Linked DNA regions of Danio rerio. The main gene of each other region encodes a partner of the protein of the gene in region 5 in a complex. Links are inferred from orthologs where the notes say so. Each region holds a gene or a part of one and is shown on either strand. Other genes may lie near its edges. The genes, in order: rbl1, mybl2b, lin52, lin54, e2f4, tfdp1a and mybl1.

What was found.
Region 1: e2f4 (region 5) and rbl1 share a complex: the UniProt entries of both Homo sapiens proteins name them as parts of the DREAM complex. The link is inferred for Danio rerio from reciprocal best matches to the Homo sapiens genes E2F4 and RBL1.
Region 2: e2f4 (region 5) and mybl2b share a complex: the UniProt entries of both Homo sapiens proteins name them as parts of the DREAM complex. The link is inferred for Danio rerio from reciprocal best matches to the Homo sapiens genes E2F4 and MYBL2.
Region 3: e2f4 (region 5) and lin52 share a complex: the UniProt entries of both Homo sapiens proteins name them as parts of the DREAM complex. The link is inferred for Danio rerio from reciprocal best matches to the Homo sapiens genes E2F4 and LIN52.
Region 4: e2f4 (region 5) and lin54 share a complex: the UniProt entries of both Homo sapiens proteins name them as parts of the DREAM complex. The link is inferred for Danio rerio from reciprocal best matches to the Homo sapiens genes E2F4 and LIN54.
Region 6: e2f4 (region 5) and tfdp1a share a complex: the UniProt entries of both Homo sapiens proteins name them as parts of the DREAM complex. The link is inferred for Danio rerio from reciprocal best matches to the Homo sapiens genes E2F4 and TFDP1.
Region 7: e2f4 (region 5) and mybl1 share a complex: the UniProt entries of both Homo sapiens proteins name them as parts of the DREAM complex. The link is inferred for Danio rerio from reciprocal best matches to the Homo sapiens genes E2F4 and MYBL1.

What each region holds. Positions count from the first base shown.
Region 1 is NC_133181.1:54,202,606-54,206,105, forward strand, and holds part of rbl1 (retinoblastoma-like protein 1), read right to left. Parts: intron 2,879-3,500; coding exon 2,702-2,878; exon of another isoform or gene 2,548-2,701; intron 1,576-2,547; exon of another isoform or gene 1,213-1,575; coding exon 1,141-1,212; intron 998-1,140; coding exon 913-997; intron 1-912. UniProt on the Homo sapiens protein: Key regulator of entry into cell division. Directly involved in heterochromatin formation by maintaining overall chromatin structure and, in particular, that of constitutive heterochromatin by stabilizing histone methylation.
Region 2 is NC_133186.1:1,640,500-1,643,999, reverse strand, and holds part of mybl2b (v-myb avian myeloblastosis viral oncogene homolog-like 2b), read right to left. Parts: intron 2,155-3,500; coding exon 1,882-2,154; exon of another isoform or gene 1,461-1,881; intron 1,400-1,460; exon of another isoform or gene 114-1,399; intron 1-113. UniProt on the Homo sapiens protein: Transcription factor involved in the regulation of cell survival, proliferation, and differentiation. Transactivates the expression of the CLU gene.
Region 3 is NC_133192.1:33,276,441-33,280,469, forward strand, and holds the start of lin52 (protein lin-52 homolog), read right to left. Parts: upstream 2,801-4,029; 5' UTR 2,789-2,800; coding exon 2,770-2,788; intron 2,182-2,769; coding exon 2,107-2,181; intron 1,948-2,106; coding exon 1,910-1,947; intron 1,834-1,909; coding exon 1,767-1,833; intron 840-1,766; coding exon 756-839; intron 1-755.
Region 4 is NC_133185.1:12,008,842-12,012,855, reverse strand, and holds the start of lin54 (protein lin-54 homolog), read left to right. Parts: upstream 1-1,214; 5' UTR 1,215-1,473; exon of another isoform or gene 1,474-3,065; intron 3,066-4,014. UniProt on the Homo sapiens protein: Component of the DREAM complex, a multiprotein complex that can both act as a transcription activator or repressor depending on the context. In G0 phase, the complex binds to more than 800 promoters and is required for repression of E2F target genes.
Region 5 is NC_133200.1:18,358,789-18,362,866, forward strand, and holds the start of e2f4 (transcription factor E2F4), read left to right. Parts: upstream 1-1,278; 5' UTR 1,279-1,588; coding exon 1,589-1,744; intron 1,745-2,715; coding exon 2,716-2,825; intron 2,826-4,078. UniProt on the Homo sapiens protein: Transcription activator that binds DNA cooperatively with DP proteins through the E2 recognition site, 5'-TTTC[CG]CGC-3' found in the promoter region of a number of genes whose products are involved in cell cycle regulation or in DNA replication.
Region 6 is NC_133184.1:36,646,188-36,649,687, forward strand, and holds part of tfdp1a (transcription factor Dp-1a), read left to right. Parts: intron 1-1,043; 5' UTR 1,044-1,116; coding exon 1,117-1,128; intron 1,129-1,202; coding exon 1,203-1,269; intron 1,270-1,398; coding exon 1,399-1,502; intron 1,503-3,500. UniProt on the Homo sapiens protein: Can stimulate E2F-dependent transcription.
Region 7 is NC_133199.1:27,725,927-27,729,426, reverse strand, and holds part of mybl1 (myb-related protein A), read right to left. Parts: intron 2,161-3,500; coding exon 1,945-2,160; intron 952-1,944; coding exon 598-951; intron 214-597; coding exon 74-213; intron 1-73. UniProt on the Homo sapiens protein: Transcription factor that specifically recognizes the sequence 5'-YAAC[GT]G-3'.

The DNA.
Region 1 (3,500 bases), on a different chromosome or scaffold from region 5:
GCAATGACTATAGATGTTGGTTGTACAATTATAGTCTGAGGAATAATCACGGGTATCACGATTAATATGCGTTCATTGATTTTAAAACTTTTTAGAAAAATCAAATTTGTGATTTGTGAAAAGTGTTATCTATTGCTGCTCAGTAACCAGAGTAATACAGCACATAATAATAATAATAATAATAATAATAATAATACAAAAACAAACAATAGTCCATTTCTCTTTGGACTTAAAAATAAGTGAAAAGTAATAATTTATAATGAAAATAATTGACAGAACAATGAATAAAAAAATTAAAATAAGAATAAATTAAAACACTTGTATTTGTCTAATATAATTCTAAGCAACATATTAGCCAAGTATTTCCCTTTTAAAGAGAACAAATATAGTCAAAAACTGAACTGACAAGAGTTTCAATTTACTATAATCTTCTATGTGAAGCTGCTTTGATACAATCTACATTGTAAAAGCACTAGAAAAATAAAGATGAATTGAATAGTTAAAACATTATTTATTCCTTTGATGCAAATTAAGCATTCAGCCCTCACATAATCTTTCAGAAATTATTGTAATATGCTGAGTTTGGTGCTCAAGAAACACTTCTTGTTATTGGTGAAATTCAAGACAGCTGCGCAACTAAAATATTTGCGTGGAAATCATGAAAGATTTTCCTCATGATTCTTTGATGGACAAATAGCAATTTATGCAAATAATCTTTTTCATCATTATTCCAAGGTGACAGGAAGGACACTTTTATTAAATTTAACATGTCCTTACAACTAAAAAACATACCATCTAACATCTAAAAAACCCCATCTAACTGGCTCCAAATATTTGAATGCTAATGCACTATACTGTGAACTATTTATTTATTTTTTAAAAGACAGATGCGTTTGTCTGTATCGTCCTTACACTGGTCTGCTGGAGGATCGACTTCCATGTTCTCGTCAGCCTGCTGCACTTTGGGACGCCTCTTTATTAAAACACTGCGGTACACCTACAAACACACAAAACATGGTTGATGTGGGTATATCAAAGACTGAGTTGTGCTTCCTTTCAGCTAAAATTACAAGATTTTCGACACTTGTGTGCATTAAAGCATTTCTATGCCATTTAGAAAGACTAAGAGTTGATACTCACATGACTGTTGGCCTGTGGTTGTGTTCGGTAGCATTTCATAATGTCCTGAAAAGTGTGCTCTTCTTTCGTGATCTGCAAAAAAATGTCACAATTTAAATGATTTTTAATGTAAAATTGTAATTTATATACATTTTATTCATAAATTTTTTCATTTATCAAAGTGATGAATGTTTTTAATTAGAAACAATGCATTAATAAAATGTGTTATATAAAATATTGGCATTTAAAAAACACAAGACCAAAATAATAGACAGCAACATGGTTTTTAAAATTAAACCAATAAAGGTTTTCTTGAGCAACAAATAAGCATATTAAAACTATTCCTGAACAATAACATGATGCTGTAATTATGCCAAAAATGCAGTATTTTGTTTATAAATATTCATAACATTCCTTTAGATTTTTACTAATACATCATATTATATCATGTCATGTCTAGGGTTGTAACAATATACCGGTATGACGGTTTACCACGATTTGAACGTGCACGATTATCATACCATGAACAATTGCATATCAACGGTTTTAACCCTTAAAGACCGAGACAGCCGCCCGCGGCTAAAAATAAGCATTGCTCTTAAATGTTTAATAACTTTTGATCCGCTGATAACATTCACGGACTTTCAGAGGCTCCGGAATCAGTGCGGTTACGTCATCAACATTTGACAACGCTGATTTGACAAAGAAACGCTCGTCACTGTGTCTCCGGACAAATCAGACATGATACATTGATGCATTGTCCCTCCTCCATGCCCAGATTGGTTCAAACTCGCTATATCACAACCAATAAGCATAGGTTTCGCTTTTGTTTGTGGACCAAGCTTTTTGAACAACACGGAATGAGAGAAAGGCATACATTTATGCGCGGCTAAATAAAACGCAAAAAAAAAAAGTTTTGCATGAAATAATTCTCATACTAAGTACTTTTGCATGCACAGCAGCACAGAAACATGACAAAACAGTGACACAGCAAAGACAAACTGTTGCTCTTGCTGTTTTCAAAAGACGCAAATGAAGATGCAGCTGTTTGTCTGCATTGCATACAACCACATCCATATCCACGCTGGCACATAAAACCTAAGGATGTTCCATATTGAATCTAGTTTCGTTATGTAACTATTTATAGTATAGTAAATATTTATATCTATTTTTTACTAAGGATTTGCACCATGTTTATTTGGACTTTATTTGGACTTTGACACATTATTTATTATTTTCTTATTTTTATTTGTTCATTGTAAGTGGTGTTGTTTATAGTAACTAAAAATATATTATTTGGAAAAAGTCAAATTTGCTTCACTGTTCTATTATTTTGTAACATTTGTAACATACCGTATACCGTATACCGTGAAACCGTCAAACCGTGGTATTGTTTTAGAAGATTATCATACCGTGAAAAATTCATACCGTTACAACCCTTATTATCATAGCAACAACAATGGTTATTTTCATAGCAAAACCATTGAATTAATAAATAAACAATTAAACAGCAAGACATTACAATAAAACTTTCGACCAATGTTTAAAAATATTAATGTTTTACTGCATTTAAAATCTGTACCCTTGATATGATGTAAACAGCACAAAGCAGCAGCTGGTCCAGGTGTCTGTCCTTCATCAGGTCAGTGCAGTGCAGGAGAGAGTGCTCAAAACACGTCCAGATCTTCCCTCTTAGCTCTGAGGAGATATCCAGCTTCAGACACAGGTCTCGCAGACGCACACTGGCTAAATGATACACCTGAAAGGAGTAGCAACAGAACATATGCACTTGAAATAAGACAATAAGACCCATATTTAAATTAAGGCTCTGCTGGGGAATAAGATTTTTTTTTTGAAAACTGTTTTTCTCTATACTTGCATGATTAAGAATTGCTAATATATTTCTGTATATCAAATATATATTTGTATATAGCAAAAAAAATTTTCCTAACAACATGCACAGATGAATTGTTCACCACAAAACTAGCAATGTGAGCTAACTAACTCAATATGGTTAGTTTTGATTTCATGTGTACTTAAAAAACAAAACAAAAAACATTAAGAATAACAAAAAAAAAAAAAATTAAATAAATAAAAATTAAAAATGTAACTAATAAATAGGGCAGTACTGACACTTTCCTTAAGACCACAATCCTATAAAATTCCTTCATACTGGGGAAAGTGGTCGAGAAGTAATGTTTTAATTTAATTGTGGTGCTTTTATTTATATGTATCCAGAATCCCCCCTCAAGAGATTTTCGATCGTTGATATGTTCCCCATAACAAATCTTTATATGGCAGGACCTGATCAAAAATATTAGCCGTGTATCCATAGTATCATCAGAAAACAAATTCACATTAAAACCACAAAAAAACACAAA
Region 2 (3,500 bases), on a different chromosome or scaffold from region 5:
TGTGCAATAAAAGCATGTAAAAAATAACTTGCCTGAAAGGTGTCTTTAAACTAAATATTGATAATTATTTGGTTTGCTCGTGTACTTGCTGAATTATTTCAAGGAATAAATTACAATGTTACAAGAGTATTTAATGGAATTAATTAAAACTTCATTATTTAATTTACCAGAAACAAAAATATAACATTACTCATTCACAGTACATACACAACTCATTATTTTTTTTTTTTGTGAGCCATCCCAAGATTTGGTGTGGTCTTACTTGGCCACCCCTAAGAAAAGTTTCTCAGGGGGCGCCACTGTGTGTCCATCCACCTATTTTTAATGCACTCTTTGGATTAATCGCAAAAAAAAAACTGAATGAAAAAGCCAAGATGTGCATACATTGCATAAAAAGATTCTGCACACAACCGAGAAGGATAAACTTTATCTGATATAAAAAAATCTGCATTAACTACAATGGAAACGAATAAATTCCAGCACACAAAAAAAATTCATGTGATTTTGTTTCAACAGATCATGTGATGATAAAAATGGCGGAAAGTGGCATGTATGTTTAGGTGGATGATGAGCTCTGAAAGGTTTTAAATGTTAAATACGAAAAAGCAGTGATGATAGAGATGATATCTGAAGATGATATCCTGCCTCCAAAAGCAAGATAACATTACTGCGCTCAGTGGGTTTCGTCTACGTGTTCTAAGACGGAAGTAAATTATTATATACAAAAACAGGGTTCTTGCACTATTTTAAAAGTACAATTTAATGCTTTTTAAGACATTTTTAAAGACCTCAACAAATATAATATAAGACCCAAAAATTGTATAATCTCTTTGGAATAAGCTACTCATTTTAATGTTCTCGTTAGATTTAAATAAATTGTGCCTCGTCACAGTATGGATAACCCGCAGTACCAGCCTTTTGGGTGTCTGGTGGTGAAATAAAACTGTTATAGCTGACTGTGAAGGGGCGTCTGAACTAGAGCTGTAATCATGATATAAAAGTTAGGCCCGATAGAGCCCGAACCCCACAGGTACATTTTGATTGACAGCTTTTAAAAGCCCAAACCTGTTTGGAGTCCGACATTATCCAAATGTGCACAGGCACACAGCTCTTTTGTCTTTTTTCATGAATGAGTCGTTTATATGGGTTAACATTACTTATTCATAACATTGGCTATAGGCCTAACATTAGTAACTAGTAACTTTGTTAGGTCGAGCTGCAAACAATGCAGGGATTAACCTGGACCTGCTATGACTAGCTGCTGCAACGTCCCGCTGCTGCTTTCCTCCTTTCATGTGCAACTCGACGACTTTGAGCCCCATGGTCCCTAACGAAAAAGTCTTTTTGCAGAATTTACACATTGCCTCTTTGCCACGTTGTTAAATGTACAATTTCCCATCTTTGCATTGACACATCAACAACTGCATAATAACAGCACGCAGGTGCAGACCAACGCAAGCGTCTATACTTTGTAGTTTTACAAGTGCTGAATTAATCAACTATTAGATGTTTTACCGTGGACCACTGTGCTTCCCTATTGTCATTAAGCACACCGGCTGAAAGTTTAATATCTACAGCCACTTTACGGTAAAATTTAAGACAATTTAAGACCTTAATTTCCCGGATTTTAATTTAAGACATTTTAAGACTTATTAAGGACCAGTGGGAACCCTGAAAAAAAAGCCCAACACTGTAACTTCTGTTTTTCTTTTGATATTTGGCGGCAGTTTATGAGGAAGTGATGATTTTGTTATCTTAGACTCGTTGGATGGAAACGCTGCTTTATTCTTAAATCTTTTATGCCATACTCCAGTTTTGCGCATACATTTAATTTGCATCTTTGGATGGAAACATGGCTAGTGTTGTGTTGCGTTTTCCCACCTGTGAGGGGGAAAAGGGCAGGATCTTGACCGGCGTGCTCTTTGGGGTCATAGAGTCATTGGGGTCTGGCGAGAGGGCGATGCGTCGACGGCTGCGGCGACTCAGGATGGATGGAGGAGTGGCTCCGCCGGGCGAGATGGGGATCAGCTCTCCTTTACTGCCCTTGCTGAGCTCCTGCAGTGCACTGCCCTCCAGACGAAACTGCAGCAGCTCCGAGCTCTGGCTCTCCTCCGGCAGGTCGAAGTCCGACATGGTACACCAGCCCTCCAGATCCTGCGCACACACACACTCTGATCAGTCCAACACACACTTAATAGTCCCATGAAGTAGGGCTGCACAATATATCATTTACGCATCGATTTTGCAGTGTGTGCACTTGCATTAGACCCTTTTCACAAGACGCTCATCGGCATCCTAAATCCTTGAAAGTTTTTACTTTTTTTTTTTTAAACGGGAACATTTATATGTATAGTATCATCTTTGTATTCAATTGCAAAAAACGAATTACAGCTCATTAAGGGTGTCACGATCCTCCAAATATTCGATTCGATTACATTTTCGATTCTAAAGTCACGATTCGATTCGATTTTCGATTATGAATAATTAATTAATGACCAATTAATTATTGGTAGCCTACCGTTTAAACTACCTGACCTGCATGGTCTTTGTTTTACCCATAAACAAATCATACAGTAAATGAATAAAGGCAAGATACACACATAATTACCACCTGTCAATCACTTTTTCTGCGGGACTCGTGAATAGGCAGTGATCTGTGTCGTTATAATGGCGTCGGTAAAAAAGACGCACAACCAACAGGAACCAGCCAACAGTATCTGAGGTGTTCGCTAAAATGACTGAGTACAAGTGAGTGAAAGATTGAAGCAGTCCTCTGACTGCCTGGACCTGCAGTCTCGAGCGCATGGCTGCGTGTGCGTCTGTGTGGTCACGTGATGTGCATTTTCAGAGGTAGAGAGGAAGGAGGGCTGCTCAGAAATGCTACACGCCACTGTGGATGTCAAATCGTTGTTGTTCTAAAATGCCATTTAAAAACAAAGCCAGTGTAAACAGGGCCTGAGTGTGAACTTTTCGCCAGCGGATTTGCAACGGGGGCGGGCGGAGGATCGCGATGCCGGTGTTGTCTATCGGACGAACCGTACGTAATACGTACATAGCAGAGCTTGCAAAACTGTGTTTTTTTTGTTGACAACACGAACGTTGTCAACATAACTCACTGGAAATCCAAAATGCTTAAACACCGGCGACTTCATTGAAAGAGGAGAGGGTTTAAGCTCTGTCGACGGGTCTCCTGTATCTGCAGTTCAACAAGCTCTTCAACAAGCCTGTTTTTTTCCCGCTTGGCAAGCCAATCTGATGTGACATGGGGGCGTGGCAGCATCGACGATTCTATTTTTTGATTCGATAATCGAAATTGAGCATAAATTTCAATTAAAAATCGAAATCGTGACACGCATCCCTCGCATGAGCAGTAGGGGTAATGCAGAATCTATAGCGGCAGGACAGTAACAACATTCAACATGATTCTCTCTTCTGGCTGCCGTTATCAGTCTCACACTATTGTTTTCCTCTTTCTGAACGTCTTGATAACACCATCGTGG
Region 3 (4,029 bases), on a different chromosome or scaffold from region 5:
AATTTTAAATCAATATAAATGCATATCTTTGAATTATTTAAATTAACTGATGCTTTTTTTATCCTCTCTCTGTAACATTATGGAAATTATTCAAAATAGTAGAGTAAAAATCAAGTAGACAGAAAAGCATTTGACTGATTTTTCTCATTGAAGCATAGTTTGTTGAGGGCTTTCTGAGGGACATGCCACACAAAGGTCAAATCAGCAGAAGGAATGTAATACATCTGAAACGAGTGTTCACCAATGGTCTGCAGTACTCGCTTTCAAATTGTGCGATGTTTCGATGCCCATTTTCATCTAGAAAATAACTGAAACACTTATCTTTCCTGTAATCCTGCCTGCGTGGATTAATGCTACATCTAGCAATTCTGTGATATAATATTACAGAGACACTGGGCAACAAGCCAGTTCTGTTTAAATATAGAGTGGGAATTCATTTGAGACTTACAGACTGAAATAAACGAATAGAACATAACAAATAAGTGTTTTTTCCACACAAGGATTCAGATGGATTTAGGCTCCAGACTACATATAATGAATTATTTGTTGTATTGTCTTTTTAACTCTATCCTAAATATCACAGCGGCAAAAAACATGAAAAATGTCTTTATGTATTAAAAGCTGGGTTTGTGTTTGTCAGTAAGTTTTATTCTTTTTCTAATATCGCCATCTAGTGGATGACTTACAATATACCGTAACTAGATAAACAGTGTGAACTAATGCACTATTTCTGAGTTGAGTAAGACATTACTTACACTCCTCCAAGCCCAACTGGTAAGCCAGATTCTGCAGACCCTTCACCTTTTCCATCAAATTTGCTGTGGTCAAACTTCCTAATTCTAAAAAAAAAAAAGCCACAACAAACAAGTTACAAAAAATAAAATAAAAATGGACCAGAACCGAAACAAAATATTATACTGTAGCTTTTATAAATTCCAGGGTTTCTGCAGGTTTCACAAAGTTAAATTTAAGACTTCAAGACATTTTCAAGACCCTTATGAATGAAATTTTAGACTCATAAAGGACTAATCGCTAAGGAATTTTTCATATGGCCCAGATGGAAAAGATTTTTCATTTGCCCCATCAAAAAACGATTATATATTAATAATACAATTATAATTTAATAATAAAAAAATAAATATTTTAGATATTTTTTATAAAAATATTCAAATATTGTTTAAAAACAAACAAGCTCTACTTGTATACATACACTTTATTTTTCCAACATAAACTTTCTTTACAATAAAAAATGAATTAATGTTTTTAAAGTTTTAATATAACTAAATCTATGCAAAACAATCTGTCCAGGTCGGTGTCCTCAGCAGCAAATACATGGAACACTTTTTAACAAATATTATGTATTTTGAGGAAAATAATAAAACTGTTATGGTAAACAGAGTTAAAAATCACCTTTTTATATAAAAGGTTTTATTGAGATGAATTGTTGGTGATCGTATAGGACTAATGGCCAGACTGCGTAGCGATACATAAACAAAGGAAAATTAAGACCTAATTTAAAAAAAATTTAATTTAACATTTAGGAACTACAACACAATATTTCAGTAAATTTAAGACATAAAAATGTAATTTTGAGGTTTAAGACATTTTACGACTTTTTAAGACCGCGCGGACACCCTGGAATTCACCAAGCAACTCATCTAACTATTATTAACCTATTCTACTAAGCAATATATAGAAAGCATAGATAAAAGACTAAATGATACATTAAAAGACTTGATATGAATACTACTTTAAAAAAGGCAGACCTTTCAACATTTCAATATCCTCTGACTCCAGTTCAGCCATCCATTTGGGTGGAGAATTTGTAATAGGCTGAAATAACAAAAACCAAGCCTTAATTTCACATCAACTTTGAAAAGTATTCATTATCATTTGAATATTTACTCACATTTTTAAAGGATGCTGCAAATTCTGACACACCCGGCACTGTTAAAAACAAAGCGTTCAAAAATATGACAATGTGTAATAATCAAATGTAATTTCTATATTTCAATCAGTGCATTTTTTTTTACATATATTTGGAAAAATATGTTAATGTGTCATAAATATTAGTCCAACTGAATAAGATTAGAGAGTCAAACTTACACTGCTCTGGCCACAGGTCAGGTGAAGCCCGGTCAAGATTTTCTAAACTTATCAGAGAAGATTCAAAGTCCTCACCTACACATTAAAAAGATAAATGCTCTATGGTCAGAGAAAACTCATCAGCAACAGGATCAATAAACCTGAAGTACAATAAAAAATGTTAAATATACACAATTTCAATTTTAACATAACTCAGCTTAGATGACGTTACAAAAAAAAATCTTCTGTCACATATTATTCAAGGTGTAAAATTAAGCTGATGTTATGACAGAGATATTATGTTTACTCAGCTGCTAAGTTACTCAAAGCTGAGCTAGCTGCATTGAGTAATCTTGTCACAAAATAATGAGTTACATAACTAACGTTAAAGATAAAATCACGACACACCAAAAGTAATATGTCTTCGCGTATTTACTACACTATTACATTCGTATTAAATTATTACTACACAACTGATGTCGTCTGACACGTAGCTTTGCTAATGACTGGCTCCAAACAATTTTATGACGCTATTCCGACTGAAAAGCTTATTTTGATTCAGAATCCATCAGTTCTTTATAAAAAATATGCTAAACCGCATAATGATTTATATGACTTAATTAGTCCGTTGCACTATTGCGTTAACAACTAACGCTGCCAGGGAAAAGAGGAATTAAAATTTACCTCCATTCGGAGACGCCATCTTGACAACAACACACGTGATTCTAAGCAGCCAATCACTGGAGGTCTTGGATAAAATAGCCACACCCTCTTATGTTGTAAAATGATGTCGCAATAATTGACTGAAAAATATGAATATAAATATTATTGACAGCACAAACCTTTTTGTTGACCAAACTCTTCTCAGTTCTATGTCAAACAAAGTGATTCTCTTTATTGTTAACAGTTCTCTGATCTCTTTAATGGTCTTTAATGGCCTTTTCTTGATATTGATCTTGGATGGTATTCGGAAAAAATACATATTTTTATCTAATAAAGCTGTTGAAGTCTCAATCAGAATCATTCATAATTGCTACCCAATAAACAACAAACTAGGTAAATTTAATAACAATATTTCCTTCAAATGCTCATTTTGTACTCAATATGGTGAAACACTAAATCTTTTTGGCCTATTTTGGGAGTGCACTTATTGTAAAGTCATTTGGGTTGACTTTTCCAATTTCACAAAAATTGTATTATTTCCAAACTTTTGTATTTCCCACAAAAAATTATATTCTTTAGATACTTTCTGAATTCTTGTAAATTTGTAATTAATTGTTTCCCCCCCCCTAAAATTTACATCGATAAATGTAAATTTTCAAAGAAACACCCTACTTTTTTATTTTAAGAAATTACTTTATATGTGAACTCTTTAAAAGACCCTAACAGTTATATTGCATGTAAAACACTTTCTTGGTGTAAATCATTTAAACTTGTTTAATTTGCTGGAATTTTAATTATGAATTCATTTCTGTCTATTTGTTTAAACTGTGTCTTTGATAACGTTCTTTCTTGCAAAATAAGTAAAAATATATATGAATAATATGCGAACATTAATATGTTTAGCTTTCATACAGAGTACTTGAGTAGTATTATGATAGTGTTAATATAATATAAGACTCAAGACTCAGTCAGGCCAAAAAACACAGCAGAACAAACTTCTGTACAGCTACAAAAAAGGCAGTAATTATAAATAGACCAAAAATAAAAATTATTGGTAAACATAAACAAGTCTAGTTTCAGCACATTTTAACGTATCATATCAATATTTTTAACAGAGTGTTCATTTTATTTATTTTAAAACACTAAAGAAACATCATTCATTCACTGTAGCATTATTACTTTGATCAACCCATTTTCAAATGCTTTGTACATAGCATTATACGAAAAGGCCCATTTAAAAGACATTAAAAAAGGGATGGTATTGTAAAACTGGTTGAAGAA
Region 4 (4,014 bases), on a different chromosome or scaffold from region 5:
TTCTCTCCGTGTTGGCGTGGGTTTTTTTTCGGGTGCTCCAGTTTCCCCCACAGTCCAAATACGTTCTGTGGGTGAATTGGTCGTGGTGTATGGGTGTGACTGCAAGAGTGTGTGGGTGTTTCCCAGTGTTGGGTTGCGGCTAAAGAGCATCTGCTGCGTAAAACATATGCTGGATAAGTTGGCGATTCATTCCGCTGTGGCCACCTTAGATTAATAAAACGTGAATGAATAATAAAAAATAAATGAATTCAATTCAATTCAATTCAGCTTTATTTGTATAGCGCTTTTACAATGTAGATTGTGTCAAAGCAGCTTCACATAAATGGTCATAGTAACTGGAACAGTGTGGTTCAGGTTTTAGTGTAATAGAAAATTTACAATAATATAATATAATATAATATAATATAATATAATATAATATAATATAATATAATATAATATAATATATAAAAATATATAAATAGATATGTGGCGCAGTGGGTAGCAAAATCGCCTTACAGCAAGAAAGTTGCTGGTTTGAGCCTCGGCTGGGTCAGTTCTAAAATAATTATCATAATATTCCAAGTAAAAATCCATTCTTTTGCTTTTTTATTGAAGAGTTGAATAATGAAAATTCAAATGAATTAGTTAATTAGAAAACTAATTTTAGACGCAAAATTCTAAAATTAATTAATTGTAATATGTATTAAAATTATTAATATAAACACTTTAAAGACACTTGAAGAGTGTTCTCTTACAATTCCCAAATTTGTAAACTTTTGTTGTTGTAAACATTTTGTAATGTACAAATAATTCATTTAAATAACTAAGAAAATTGTGCAATTCAGATAACGATTTAGATAAACAGGAAAAATAACAATTATGAACATCAGTAAAAATATATATTTTTAATTATGCGCAATGCAAAAATTACAGTCATGGTACATACAAAGAATAAAGTTAGAAGCAAAACAATAATATACAAAGGAGCTACATTCATAAAGCACTACTGGGATAATAATAAACAATTTAAAAACTTCAGTTGTTTTAACGTCATTTTTGTCACAGAATTAGAATTAGTCTTAAAATAATGTTGCATTTCAGTAGGAAAAATATAAAAGAAGAGTTTCTGGTTTGTAAATTTGCATTTGTGTATATGAAATATTAAGAATACAACAGTAAAAAATCTGCGCGGAAGTTGTGTTGTGACGTCATGTGTTGTTTCCTACGAAGGCGTGGTTTGATTATGGGATGTTAGAGGTGAAATGGCGCTCGGCGCGGTATTTTAAACAATCGTCTTCGTCTGAGAGCGGATGATCGACAGGATGCAGCCCCGAGTTGGACCGAGCAGGTCGTGATCGAGCAGAAAACGTTGTGGATTTCAGAAGAGCGTCTCGACACTCATCTCGACCCCGTGTAGGAGTGCTTTGGGCTCGGGTGGGTGTTCAGCGAGGGGCAATATGATCTCCGCTAGTTAGCAGAGCTGCTAACACTGTATGTATATATATGTGTGAGTGTGTATGTGCGCGTCAGCTGATGTCCGTCCGCGAACTGCCTCAACCGCGCGTCACACACACAGCTGCGCTCGCGAATAATCGCTGCTAATAATTGCTCATCTTCTGCAACATAGACAAAACTCATATGAAGCTTTATAAAGGGCTGATGCGTTGCAGGAGTTAATAGTGGCTAACTGATTAGCACCCTAGGCTTTACCTGCCAGAGAATGACAGCAAGCTGCGCCTGTCATTTTAGTCTTGCGGAGAGCTGTTGCTTAGCAAAATTATTAAATGTCTGTAAATATAGAGAGGTTTTCATTTCTTGTATGCGTGTAATAGTACATCTATTTGTATCATTAATTAAAACATCAGGAATTACATAGTTCAGATCATACGTTTTGTATGAATTAAGATGTATTTGGTAACACTTAACGGTTGCCAAATGTTTTATTTGTCAATATTAGATAACAAAATATTTTTGAGCAATTTCTTTATCTTTGTTAACGTAACGTCAACAAATACGACTTTTGCATTTGAACATGTATTAGTAAGTATCAAGGTTAAGTTGGGTTTTATATTCGTACACGTATAAATATGACTACGTTAACATTAGCATTAGTTTATTTGACTGTGGACATTGTTGTATTCTGATAGCCATCGTCTGCTAATATGGTTAAACTATTTGGAATTTGCAGAAAATAACTTTATGAAAGTCTGAATGTGTGAATATAAAACCAACTTTACCTTAATGCAAATGTCATCTAATGGAACTGAACTAGTATCATCAGTAATCATCAGTCCAACTGTATCATTACTAATTAAATAAGCAAACGACTATTATCTAAGGCTAATAAACGCTAAATAATGCAAGTTATTGCTCTTTAGCATTAACAAATAAAATACTTTTGTGGACCACACCTCTCACTAAATTGTTTGAGTGTACATAGATGTAATTGTACACTTTAGGATATATAAAGTGTAATAATAGCATGCGTTAAGATAAAGAGAACATTGTAATGAGTTTTACCCTTGTTCAAAACCTGCATGACTGACTTTTCTTCTTCTACAAAGAATGACGTCATTTTTCACGGAATAGAAAAATATGCATTGAGAGTGAATGGCAAGGATGTCATTCAGATTACCATCATGCTATGTTGTTCCAGTGAAGAAAAACCTATGAGGGTTTTGAACGAAAATTAACAATTAATATTTCTAAGTCTCAAAACGAATACAGTGACGGTCCTTTGTACTTCTAACTCATTCTTTAAGCTCAAACTCTGACAAAACAACAAATCCTGTTGTTTTTTCCTCTTGTCCTGCGACTGTTTCTGTTATGTCTGAACTGATGACGAGATGAAAATGGCGGATCTTTCGAAATCCAAGCCCGGCCTGAAATAGACACGCAGCCCGCTTAACTCCTTTTAACAGGACTCCGTTCTGGAGACAAACATCCCTATCTGCAAAAACTCTTGAATATACGCGTACACATGAATATTTTAATGGCATCAGTATAGACAGGAAAGCAGACGCGTCGAATACCAACAAACTCCGTCAGATGTGAAACTGACAGGCTTGTTTTTAACTGTTGAGGTAAATAATTATACACACATTTATATTCTCAGGCATGCACAAAGAGGCTTATTGTTGTTTAACTGTGTATAAAACCCGTGTAAAACTGGTAAAACGTTTAGCGATTAAACGCATACATAGAAGTGCATTTCTGAGTTGTGTTTTTAAACCACTATTTTGTGAAACGTTTTTTCCAGCCACTGTCATTGTTTACCGATTGATAGTTTTCTGAAGCAAACTCTGGCTAGTTCATGTTAGTTGTTGCGGCTGTTTTATGTATTACTGTGTGTTAACTGCTGGTTAGCCGCTGTGCTAGTTAGCCACATAGCAGCCGAACATAAACAGATCGCCTGCTCTGGATGCGACGCGACACAACTTGTCGCGTCGCTCGTGTTGAGCAGTGTTTACTAAATATTAGGAATTTGAGTGGTCTACTTGACTAGTTAACCAACTAGTAACGTTAGTGTTATGTGATATTGATGCTGATGTGAATTATATCATGAGACCTGTTATTCAGAGGGCAAAAAAGAAGTTATGTAGTTTAAATGCATGACTATTGTTATATTCTCCATATGTAATATTAACAAAATATCTATTTTAAGTGTAGTACATTTACAGTAAACAGAGTGGTGATGTTTAATATTACATCTCATAAACTGCAGTAGTGCTGAACTTTTTTTGAGGTTGCTATGGGTGTAAATGTTATTGATTCATTCTCAGATTGTGGTTATTTGAGGTAACATTGTAAATAATGGAATCAAGCAGTGTTTGTTAGACAAATAAACACCACTGATGATTTAAGATGCACAATGGTTGAAAATGCTTAATTTATTTTGTTATAATCACAGTTAATGCCACAGAACAAGGAAATGCATTTTTCTGTGAAGACAGAAAGAAGAAAATAAAAGTAAACTAAAGGTCTTTTTAAATGTATATTTACATTACAGTATTTTAAACCAAAATGAAAGTT
Region 5 (4,078 bases):
AGTGTAGTTATGTCATTTGCATGGTCAAGATGAGGGTTTGTACAAATGTGTATGTGCCTATACTTATTTTAGATGTTTAAATATCTATCGGTTTATCCATCTGTCAGTCTCAATGTTTCTCTTTCTCTCTCTCTTTGTCCATCCATCAGTGCATCTATTTCTGATCTATGTCAGTCATTCTTTCAGTAAATCTGCTTGTCTGTGGATCCATCCATTCATCTGTCCGTCTATCTATCTATATCTGTCAGTCTCATTGCTTCTCTTTCTCTCTCTCTTTGTCCATCCATCAGTTTATCTATCTATCTATCTATCTATCTATCTATCTATCTATCTATCTATCTATCTATCTATCTATCTATCTATCTATCTATCTATCATCTATCTATCTATCTATCTATCTATCTATCTATCTATCTATCTATCTATCTATCTATCTATCTATCTATCTATCTGTCTTTGCATTCAACTGTCTGTCTATCTATCTATCTATCTATCTATCTATCTATCTATCTATCTATCTATCTATCTATCTATCTATCTATCTATCTATCTATCTATCTATCTATCTGTCTTTGCATTCAACTGTCTGTCTGTCTATCTGTCTATCTATCTATCTATCTATCTATCTATCTATCTATCTATCTATCTATCTATCTATCTATCTATCTATCTATCTATCTATCTATCTATCTATCTGTCTTTGCATTCAACTGTCTGTCTATCTGTCTATCTATCTATCTATCTATCTATCTATCTATCTATCTATCTATCTATCTATCTATCTATCTATCTATCTATCTATCTATCTATCTATCATCTTTGCATTTAACTGTCTGTCTATCTATCTATCTATCTATCTATCTATCTATCTATCTATCTATCTATCTATCTATCTATCTATCTATCTATCTATCTATCTATCTATCTATCTATCTATCTATCTATCTATCTATCTATCTATCTGTCCGTCCGTTTGTCCGTCCGTCCGTCCATTTAGTGATAAAACAATCAGGCAAAATAAAAATTGATGTAAAATGCAACAAAAAACAGCAAATATATTGTTTTAATTATATTAAGGGTCAATTATTCAAATACGACAACATCTGTGAATAGAAAACTTTGCATTTTTCAATTTAGCACACGACAAAGAGAAAAACCGGTGTCTGTAGCCCCCACATGGTCGTTTCAGTTCAACGACGCCGCTTTTATCGCCCCCCTCAGGCCGCTTTACGCAATGCAGGAACCCTCCAATTTTTTTATCAGGTCATCCCATGATGCACTGCGCCTTCAACGGCTTCAGTCATTCAAGCAGCTCAGCGCTGGTGCTCGTAAGACCTCCTGTTCTGTTAGGCCATCTGGGTTGGGGTGATCCGTGTCCCAAACCGGACCAGACCCCGAACAGCGGTCGCAGCTCTGTCATTTTGTGGACAACTTTCCCGTCCATGGTTCGCAAATCGCCGGTCGTTGACGGGAAGCGAGCGTTTACGCGGCAGGAGCGGTGCTGTCAGCGATATAGCAAGCAGAAAGCGTTATTTATGCAACCATAAACACAACTGCGGGGATTTATTAATACTTCAACATCATCCTGATGGATTTAGAAACCGGAAGAAACGACCTGGGAGCGATGGGAGAGTCGCTGCAGCCGCAGACCCCCAGTCGCCACGAGAAAAGTCTCGGACTGCTCACCACCAAATTTGTGACTCTACTGCAGGAAGCGAAGGACGGAGTGCTGGATCTGAAAGCTGTAAGCACGACATCAGCTCATCACCATCACCATCACCTATACATCTGTACAATATCACACACGCGCTCGCGAGACACACAGCGCATGCACCGCGTTTATCTTTTAAAATGTGCATGAATACAGATAAACTGCAGATCTTGTAAAAGTTGCCTGAAAGTTGCTTTGCTAAGGGAGGAGGGGGTCGCGTGCACGCACATCCCCTCACTCAACTCCCACGACAATACACTAGCTCATTTACTAAATTAGACTAGTCAGCTAACAAGTTGCAAATGTAATGTCACTGCAGTCGGCAGTTCTATAATCCGCTCCGGTGTTTGTTGTTGTACGCCGGAGTTTATTTGCGGTGGAAAAGTAGTTTCCATCCGGGCTGAAAACTCAAACAAAAGCCTTCAAAACAAGCACGTGCTCTGGAGTTTTGGGAAATTTAGGCCTATGCAAATGGTGGAGTTGCAAAGCATGCTTTAGAGTTTAAACCTGGTTTTTGTATGTATAAATATATTATAATGCAAATATGTTGTTTTGAAATGTCCTATGTTGTTTGGAGTTTAGATTTGCGCAGGCGCTACTCGAAGTGGACCGCATCTAGTTCGGTTGCTTGTCAAATCTGATTTTTTTATCTCTTAGATTAGTTACGGTACATTTTAAAGAAATTAGCATTTTGTCTATATTTTCACTCTCATATTTGTTCCGAACATTAGTTTTTAGTGGGACCACTAAAAGAGATGTTAGGCTGAATGACAGCCTCGGTCACCATTCACTTTCTTTACACTGAGTTAAGATGCACTTCTAGTGAATGGTGACCAGACAAGTCTTTCACAATATGACTAACATTTAAAAAGTCGCATGAACATTTGTAAATGATCAAGTGTTTTTAAGTCAACTGTTGTGTTTAGGATTGCGTATATAAAACATTTTCAATATGCAATAAAAACTTTATATTTAATCATCTGTTCTGTTGGATGTGGTTTTAGGCTGCAGATACTTTGGCTGTAAGGCAGAAACGGCGCATCTATGACATCACCAATGTTTTGGAAGGGATTGGACTCATCGAGAAGAAATCCAAAAACAGCATCCAGTGGAAGTAAGATGCAGAAGCTTTCATGTGGACATATCGTCACCTTAGAACTATAAGGTTCTATCTGCCATTTTTGTCAAAATTAAGTTATTGACATATTCTTATTAAATGACAACTTATTTACATTATGGGATATTTTTGTTGTTGTTTACATTTTAATACTTTTAATAAAAATAAAAACGCGTAGATAGAACCTTATAATTCCAAGGTGACAATATACTGACTCCTATATTTGTTGGTCACTCCTCTATTAGCTTTTTGCATCAATATATTTATATATTTTAGTAGGCTCCTAACAAACATGAGACAATAAAAGTTTTTAAGGTTAACTGTGGTTAATTAGGTTAATTATGTAGTCTGGCATGTTTACTGCTAGAAAATATTATACATTTTTCTCAAAATAAAATATTTTGTGCTCAAAGGTAAAAAAGTTGGGGCCCCATAACATTGTATTGAAATATTAGAAAATATATTTTTGTGATAAATATTGCAATATAAATACAGTTTTACCAGATGGTTTGAATTCTCTACTTGACTTTTTTATAGTCTAATAAGTGTTTAGGTACTGAAATTCGGTAATCACAATGTAAATTACTTGGGGTTGCCTTGTTTCTAGTCCACATATCTAAAAACATAGATTTATTTTCACTTTCAGAAATAATAAGTCAAAATTAAGTGAGATTTTCCTTTAAACAAGCTAATTAATCTGCCAGTGTGGTAAGCAAAATAATGATTATTGTGGATACACACATTGCTATATCGATGCTGAAACGATTTATTGTGCAGGCCTACTTCCAATTTCAAAGAACCTGAGCTGTCTTTTTTTTCTGTTGTGTAATTTTAATGTTAATTATGCAAAAATATGCTGCTTTTTAAGATTTATTTTGATATGGTCAGTGGTTTTTATTCAAACATGTCTGCTTATTATTGCATAGCTACGGAGATTTTATCATTGTTAAAAAATGTGCTGTTTGGTTTCGCATTCAATTCACAAAAGTGACGTTGTTTTAATAGAAAGTAGAGCTGGATGATATGGCAAAAATGCTGTCACGATATTTAAATTCTACATTAAACGATAACTATATTAAAACAAGTTGTTAATGCTTCCACTTTTAAAAAGAGTATCCTAAAAATGACTGAAGACGGATACTGCAGGCAGGAAAGTGAACTGCTGGTGGGAAAGTGAAACGAGAGTGCTAAACAATACTGGGTGACTCAGCAGGACCTATTTCCAGCCGATAATTTTCGGCGACCAAAAC
Region 6 (3,500 bases), on a different chromosome or scaffold from region 5:
AACCAAGAGATCTGAACTACAAATGTGAACACACCCTAAATATGTTAACCCTTTTAAATTAAAACCCTCTTTTGATGCCTAGTTATATCCCTGTGATGAAATTTAGATGCGTCAACATAATCAATTCATATTATTCTGTTGGGATGGGTGATTAATTATAAATTAATCTAAATCTACATTCATAAACATAAACATAAATGTTTCTAATTTTTCCAGGCTGTTTTTTTCCCCAATTACTTTCCCTAACGCATGTGGAGTCGCATGACCCTGCTCTGTTAAGGCTGATGTATACTTATACGTATGGTCCAGCGCACCTCTCAATAAATGTAACTACATGTTGTGACGACATGTAGCGCAGGCTTTGGGATTGGTCAGTTTGAAAGCAGTGACAAGCGTAGGTGGTGGGGATTTCACTCAGTTGTTTAACATTAATGTTCAATAAATAATTTTTCCCCTCCTTGCGTAAAACATATGCTGGATAAGTTGGCGGTTCATTCCGCTGTGGCGACTTCTGATTAATAAAGGGACTAAGCCAAAAAGAAAATAAATGAATGAATGAATAATGCACCCTTTTATTTAAAAATCTTTCACTGGTAATATGTGAACATTTGTTGTACAAAACTTGTCTGAGCTATGAGGGCAAAAAAAAAAATAAAAAAAAAATCGTTCCTTAATCTTAATCGAGTTAATGTTCAATTCATTGAGATTTTGATTTTAGGGTAAATTGCCCAGCCCTATTATTTTGTACCATTTATTGTGAACATGGCTTTTGGGATGTACTGTCTTCTGCTTTGGTCTTGCTTACAGAAAATTTAGACAGATCTGCCATATCTGTCTGAACCTCTGTTCATAATCGACAAACCATCTTTAAGAGAATGAATTCCATTGATCACTGCAACTTTTGGCTGTTGTGGCGATTGAAAACATTCCTCATTAGTCACTTTCATTATGAGACACAAAGATTTGTGTAGTAACCTTGGTTACAGTCTTCAAGTGTCCTCGGTTCTTGTGCCAAACCAGTTTTCGTTTTTTTTTTTTTGCAGTGACGTTTTGTTGTGGAAATTTGGCTCAGGTTTTTAAGCTAGACCAAGCATCAATTCCTCAGCCCCAGGGATCATGGCCAAAGATGTGAGTATTTTCTGTTGCTCTATTAGATGTCATCTACTAAGAATGATCATTGAGGGTTATCTCGTTCTCCGCAGGCTGGTCTGATTGAGGCCAATGGGGAGTTGAAGGTTTTCATTGATCAAAACTTGAGCCCTGGCAAAGGTAAGAAGAGGCTTTCTGAAGAATTATATTTAAGATCTTGCAAAAATGCTATGCAAAATCACAGACACCTGCTTGACCTTACATAGCACTACGTTTAGAAGTCTTCTGTGTATTCTTCTACCCCTGCAGGTGTGCTGTCTTTAGTAACGGTGCATCCACAGGCTTTGACTGTTGGAAAACAGCTGTTGCCAAAAACACTGGGCCCTTCCAACGTGAACATTGCACCACATATGGTGAGTTTGGTCACATAAACACTGCATCTATAAATCATACTAGTGTTAATCGTTCTATTTGTGAATTAAGTGTGTATTTCAGATTTAATCAGGTTGTCATAATTGCTATAGACATTGTAGAGAGCTGGGATGCCTTACCATTTCCTTGAAGACCTTTTCATTTTGTTATGTTCTGAATCATTTTCTCTGGAGTGATCTGTGTGCTGCATTAATACTCTTGAAAAAACCTTGTTTCGTAACTTAGGGAGAGAACAGGAAAGAAGCCAAATGAAAAGAATATGGATGGAAACTACAATTGTAATCTGTGATTTGGTGCAACAAAATATGAATACTTTGTTTTGGTGATATTTCTTCACAACATGCCTCAAAAAGATCACAAGGTTGGAGACTAGAGCTTCGTCCTAAATGGCACACTATGCACTCATGCACTATGTACTTATGAACTTACACACTCAACAGGATAGTACATGTATGTAGTGTTGTCCCAAATGGCACACTAATGTTTTTTTACTAAGCGGAAATTCAAACCGTTTCCCTAATGACGTTTGACGGTTGCTAAATAAGTTAAATAAACGGCCGAATTATCAAGTAATACCTGCCGTGAGTATTGCCGCATTCACCATCGGGAGGCGCTATAACCAATCTCGTATGAGAATTTTGCTTTCACCATCCAAAATAAAAAAAGTTATCCAACATGTGCGTCCGATAACTCCGCCCCTTCTACTACATAAGCAAACCTGCGGTCGTTGAGTGCGTGAAGTGTCCATCATTAAACACTTCATTTTACCAGCTGAATGAGTGCATCATCCGGGTAATTAAAGTGCACTTATTATTTTTAGAGTTTTCAGTGTGAACGCACTATTTATACTACAAAATAGCGTAGAATAGTGCATAAGTATGCAATTTGGGAAGCATCTTAGGTATATAACATGGTTTGAAAGCAGGTGATCTTTTGTGTCTTGTTAAACCCATTTGACCACATGAATGTTTACACTGCAAAAGAACTTTGATTGAATAACTTTCTCCACCAATCAGATCAGCACTTTTGTTCAAGTGCACGGAGCTGCTGAAGTTACAGTAAACAGCACTTGGAGGCTCTCAAGCGCAAAATTGTCAATGCGAGCGCACATTAAAGAAGATGTCCAGAGGCTATATATGAACGTTTAGCTGCTTTTTGCTCTTTTGCATATGGTGATTTTGCATACTCTTCTGCTTGACGCCAGTAAAAATTGCTTGGCTTTGAATACGGAAAAACGTCTCTTAAAACGCTGACGATAAACGCAAACGAAAAGCGTCCCGGTGTATAGGAGCCTTTAGGGTGCTTTCACATCTGTGGTTTGGTTCATTTGGTCCAGATTAAGGGCAACAAATGACACATTGTAACTTTTTTTTTTTTTTTTGTCTGTTTTTGATTCCTTTTCACACCACACTGATTGCTTTTGTCTCAACCAGTTGAAAAGAACTAAAATGCAGTCATGTGACTATCCACATCACTCATTGGCCAGATATTATTGAACAAATTTCCTAAACTGCTTTTCGATTGGTCCGTATTAATGTGCAGGAAAATGTCAATGGAATTCCCTCAAGTAAACAAACCGGCAGACAAAAAATGTCACTTTTTACTATGGACTGCACTGGCTGATTGTATTCCTGGTCATAGTAAAAGGCAGGGGGGAAAAACCCTTAGACACTGCTTGTGTTCTGCATTATGCTAAACACACACCATCTCCTGATTTGACAGGTTAGGCTGACTGATTTTCAAGAATGGTTATGTTTGGTTTATAGTTTTTTTTTAATCCACATAAAGCAATTTGTAATATCCTAATGGAGTGAGGAACCTAAACCAGCTGTTTTCAAAGTCTGAATTCATAGGTTCAAATCTGAGATTTCATCTGTGTCAGGTTTGGAAAAATTAAACATAACCTTTTTTTTTCTTTAATGAACATGCTCATGCATAAATCATCAATTGGAAAAAGTCATTAATAATTAAACAATAAC
Region 7 (3,500 bases), on a different chromosome or scaffold from region 5:
ATTTCTTGATTCAGACCACGGTTATCTCAAATTTCTCAAACAGCAGCAGCAAAGCTGAAGAATGAGCCCTGACCCTGCATTCTCCTTCTGGTGTTTTGGTGTGGTCTCTTTCTGATGCGGTGTGTTGAGGAGGCATTTCTGTCCACACACTGGAGTTGACGTGAGAGCAGGATTGTCGAGGCTCAAGGGCTCGCCACCAGATACATTAAAAAACTGGAAAAAAAAAAAAAAAACATTGAATGAATCCACTAGGTCTGGGTATTGATTCAGTCCTTGATTGTGTCCTAATCAAGTCCTAATTTGATTCGATACAGATGTACAGGCTTACGATTCAATTTGATATAATAAACGAATATAACTAAAATAACTATAATAAAAAAATGATCAGTGAGTACTAAATTTTAGGTGCATGTGTAGAAATCACCTCTATAAATATCTCTTTACATATCTGAAAACACCTAATCACTGGAATACAGAATAAACGGTTTACTGCTTTTGAGAAATATCCAACTAACCGCTTAAAAAAATGGAAAAAAAAAACATTTTGGTTCTCTGTACTCTATAATAGGTGCTTTAGTTTATGATTTTGTTTTGTACCTGAGAAGGTGAAAACGGCAGGCCTTTAACAGGAGTGTGTTTTGGAGAGTTCCCACTGTTGTCAATATAAGAGCAGCTTCTTTCTTCAGCAGGAGACTGATCTCCTCCCTCTCTTCTCTTCTTTCTGCAGATGGAGGTTGGTGGAGAGCTGAATCTGTTCATGCAGGTGTTGGGAAGAGTCCCAGACTTGCCCTGGCTGACCGCAGCACATGGTCTGGTCATTGTCTGGACGGTAGGAGCATTTATTGGGAAGGCCAGGGTTTCTGTACAGACATCAGCGGGGTTTGTAGGCTTCGGAGAGGGGCCGCTCTCTGAGAGATCAAAACTAGTGACATCACTCCAGGCCAGAGGATCCTACAGCATCAAAAAACACATTTATATTGCCACAATTCAAAATCTGCATAGTTGATAAGATTTTTTTACACTCAAAGAATTAAGTTTGTTTCAAACTACTTATTTAAAATGAGCTGAAACAACGCAATTCCTGAGTTTCTTTGGGAGGAGAACTTGATTGTTTAATGTTCAAACAACTTAATTTGTAAAAACGTAAATGTTAACTTAATTCCTTCATGTTGTCCCAACTCAAATCGATAGTGTGGAACCCAGCATTTTTTACAGTGTAGTCTAAACACGTAGTCTTAGTCCTAGTCTTGTTAAACCCCATATTTAGTTTAAACACAGGTAAAAATAAGGCTGTCAATGATACATTTTCACAAATCATAACTTTCAAACTTGTTTTTTTTCAGAGGGATATTTCTTAATCTGATCAATCAGTTGAACACAATGGACTAATATTGCTCATAACCTAATTTCCTTCTTCCAAAATTTAAATATGGTGCTACCCTGGCTTAGATCTCTTAGTACAGTAATCAACTAGTACATAAAAAGTAAAATAAATTAATTAATTAAAAATAAGAATATATAATCAATAACATATCTAATTTTATACAGTTTTACATTCATTTAAGAGTGGAGAGTACACGACATCCAAAAACAAAGGCAGTTTCTAAAACAATTCATTTACATTCTGTACTTAATGGATTTCTTTACATTGCACACTTGATTATTGACCAGGGTTATTCTTGTCATCTTAAACTAAAACCATAAAACTGACTTGACAAATCTTGGTTAATTAAAAACTATTATTGACATAAAGCTAAATTGACATTTTATACAGATGATATTAAAATAAAAATATCTAAAACACAACCAAATTACTAATGACACTTAAATATCACTCTTATTATCAGAAAAGCAGAATAAACTAGTTAAAAACTAGTTAAAAACTACAAACTTCCTATAACCTGATCAGTTTATTTAGAACACAGAAAGTGTATCTTTACGTACTCTGCTTACCGAGTCAATGAGCTCCATGGTCTCTGCAAACTCAGGGATGGTCTCTAGTGTGGACAGAACAGCACTGGCTTCAGCAGCCAGAAACTTGCTCGGAGAGACAGGCAGAGGTATGGAGACGGAGCGGCCATCCTCTACACCTCTGTCCTCCACACTCTCCACACTGTCATCAGGCAGACTGTCTGACCAGCTCGAGTAGCTCTCTGGATTCTGCAGAGGAACAATCATCGACGTCAGTGAGGAAAAGAGTGAGATAAAACACATGAAATGACCAAAAGATGAAGTGGAAGGGAAAGTTCAACTGAATAAAACAATAAATAAAATCACAGAATCAATAAGTCTACATTAATTCAGTCATGATATCGATGCTGCATATTACTTTGAGATTATATGCTATAATGTTAAGATGTTTTTCGTTCATTCATTCATTTTCTTGTCGGCTTAGTCCCTTTATTAATCTGGGGTCGCCACAGCAGAATGAACCGCCAACTTATCTAGCAAGTTTTTACGCAGCGGATGCTCTTCCAGCAGCAACCCATCTCTGGGAAACATCCACACACACATTCACAAACACACTCATACACTGCGGACAATTTAGCCTACCCAATTCACCTGTACCGCATGTCTTTGGACTGTTGGGGAAACCGGAGCACCCAGAGGAAACCCACGCAAACACGGGGAGAACATGCAAACTTCACACAGAAATGCCCACTGACCCAGCCAGGCTCGAACCAGCGACCTTATTGCTGTGAAGCATTGTGCTACCCACTGTGCCACTGTGATGCCATAATAATAATATATATTAATTATATAATATTGGGGGTGGGAATCTCTGAGCACAATCCGATTCTGGAGGTCATGAGCCGATTCCTAAAAGATTCTTAACCAAACATTTTTTTATTTTTACAAATATTTGTAAAATTTTATGTCATTTTAACCAGAATTACAGTTTCCATGCTTTTGATTATTGATTGGAATCTCTGTGTGACAGTACATCAAGTCATCAAAATTGTTTTATTTTATTAAACATTTATTTCTTTTATTAAAGAATTATTCTTTATTAAAATTTCAAGATAAAAACACCAGATCACAAAGAGCAATTATAAAGAACAAAGAGTCCTCATTCCAAAAAAAATGCTTTTATTTGATTATAACGTTAAGTGAAATTATGGATAATAGGAGAAAAATTAAATGTACATTTATTATGTAATTAGCTCTCACAATTATTGGTTGATCAACGGATCAGAAGAGCTGCGTCTCGCCTGTAATTATCCATCAGTCCAAATCAAGTGAATTCAGTAGCATACGTATATGTGCTTGTCAACACTTCTGTTTAGAGCACATCCCTGCACCATCGCAATCTAATTTGAATACAGAATCGATTAGAAATTTTTGAGAATTAATTTAGAATTGTTAAAGTAAGAATTAAAATGCATTGTTTTTTTTCTTCCCCTCCCCTAATATATATATATATATATATATATATATATATATATATATATATATATATAGAGAGAGAGAGAGAGAGAGAGAGAGAGAGAGAGAGAGAG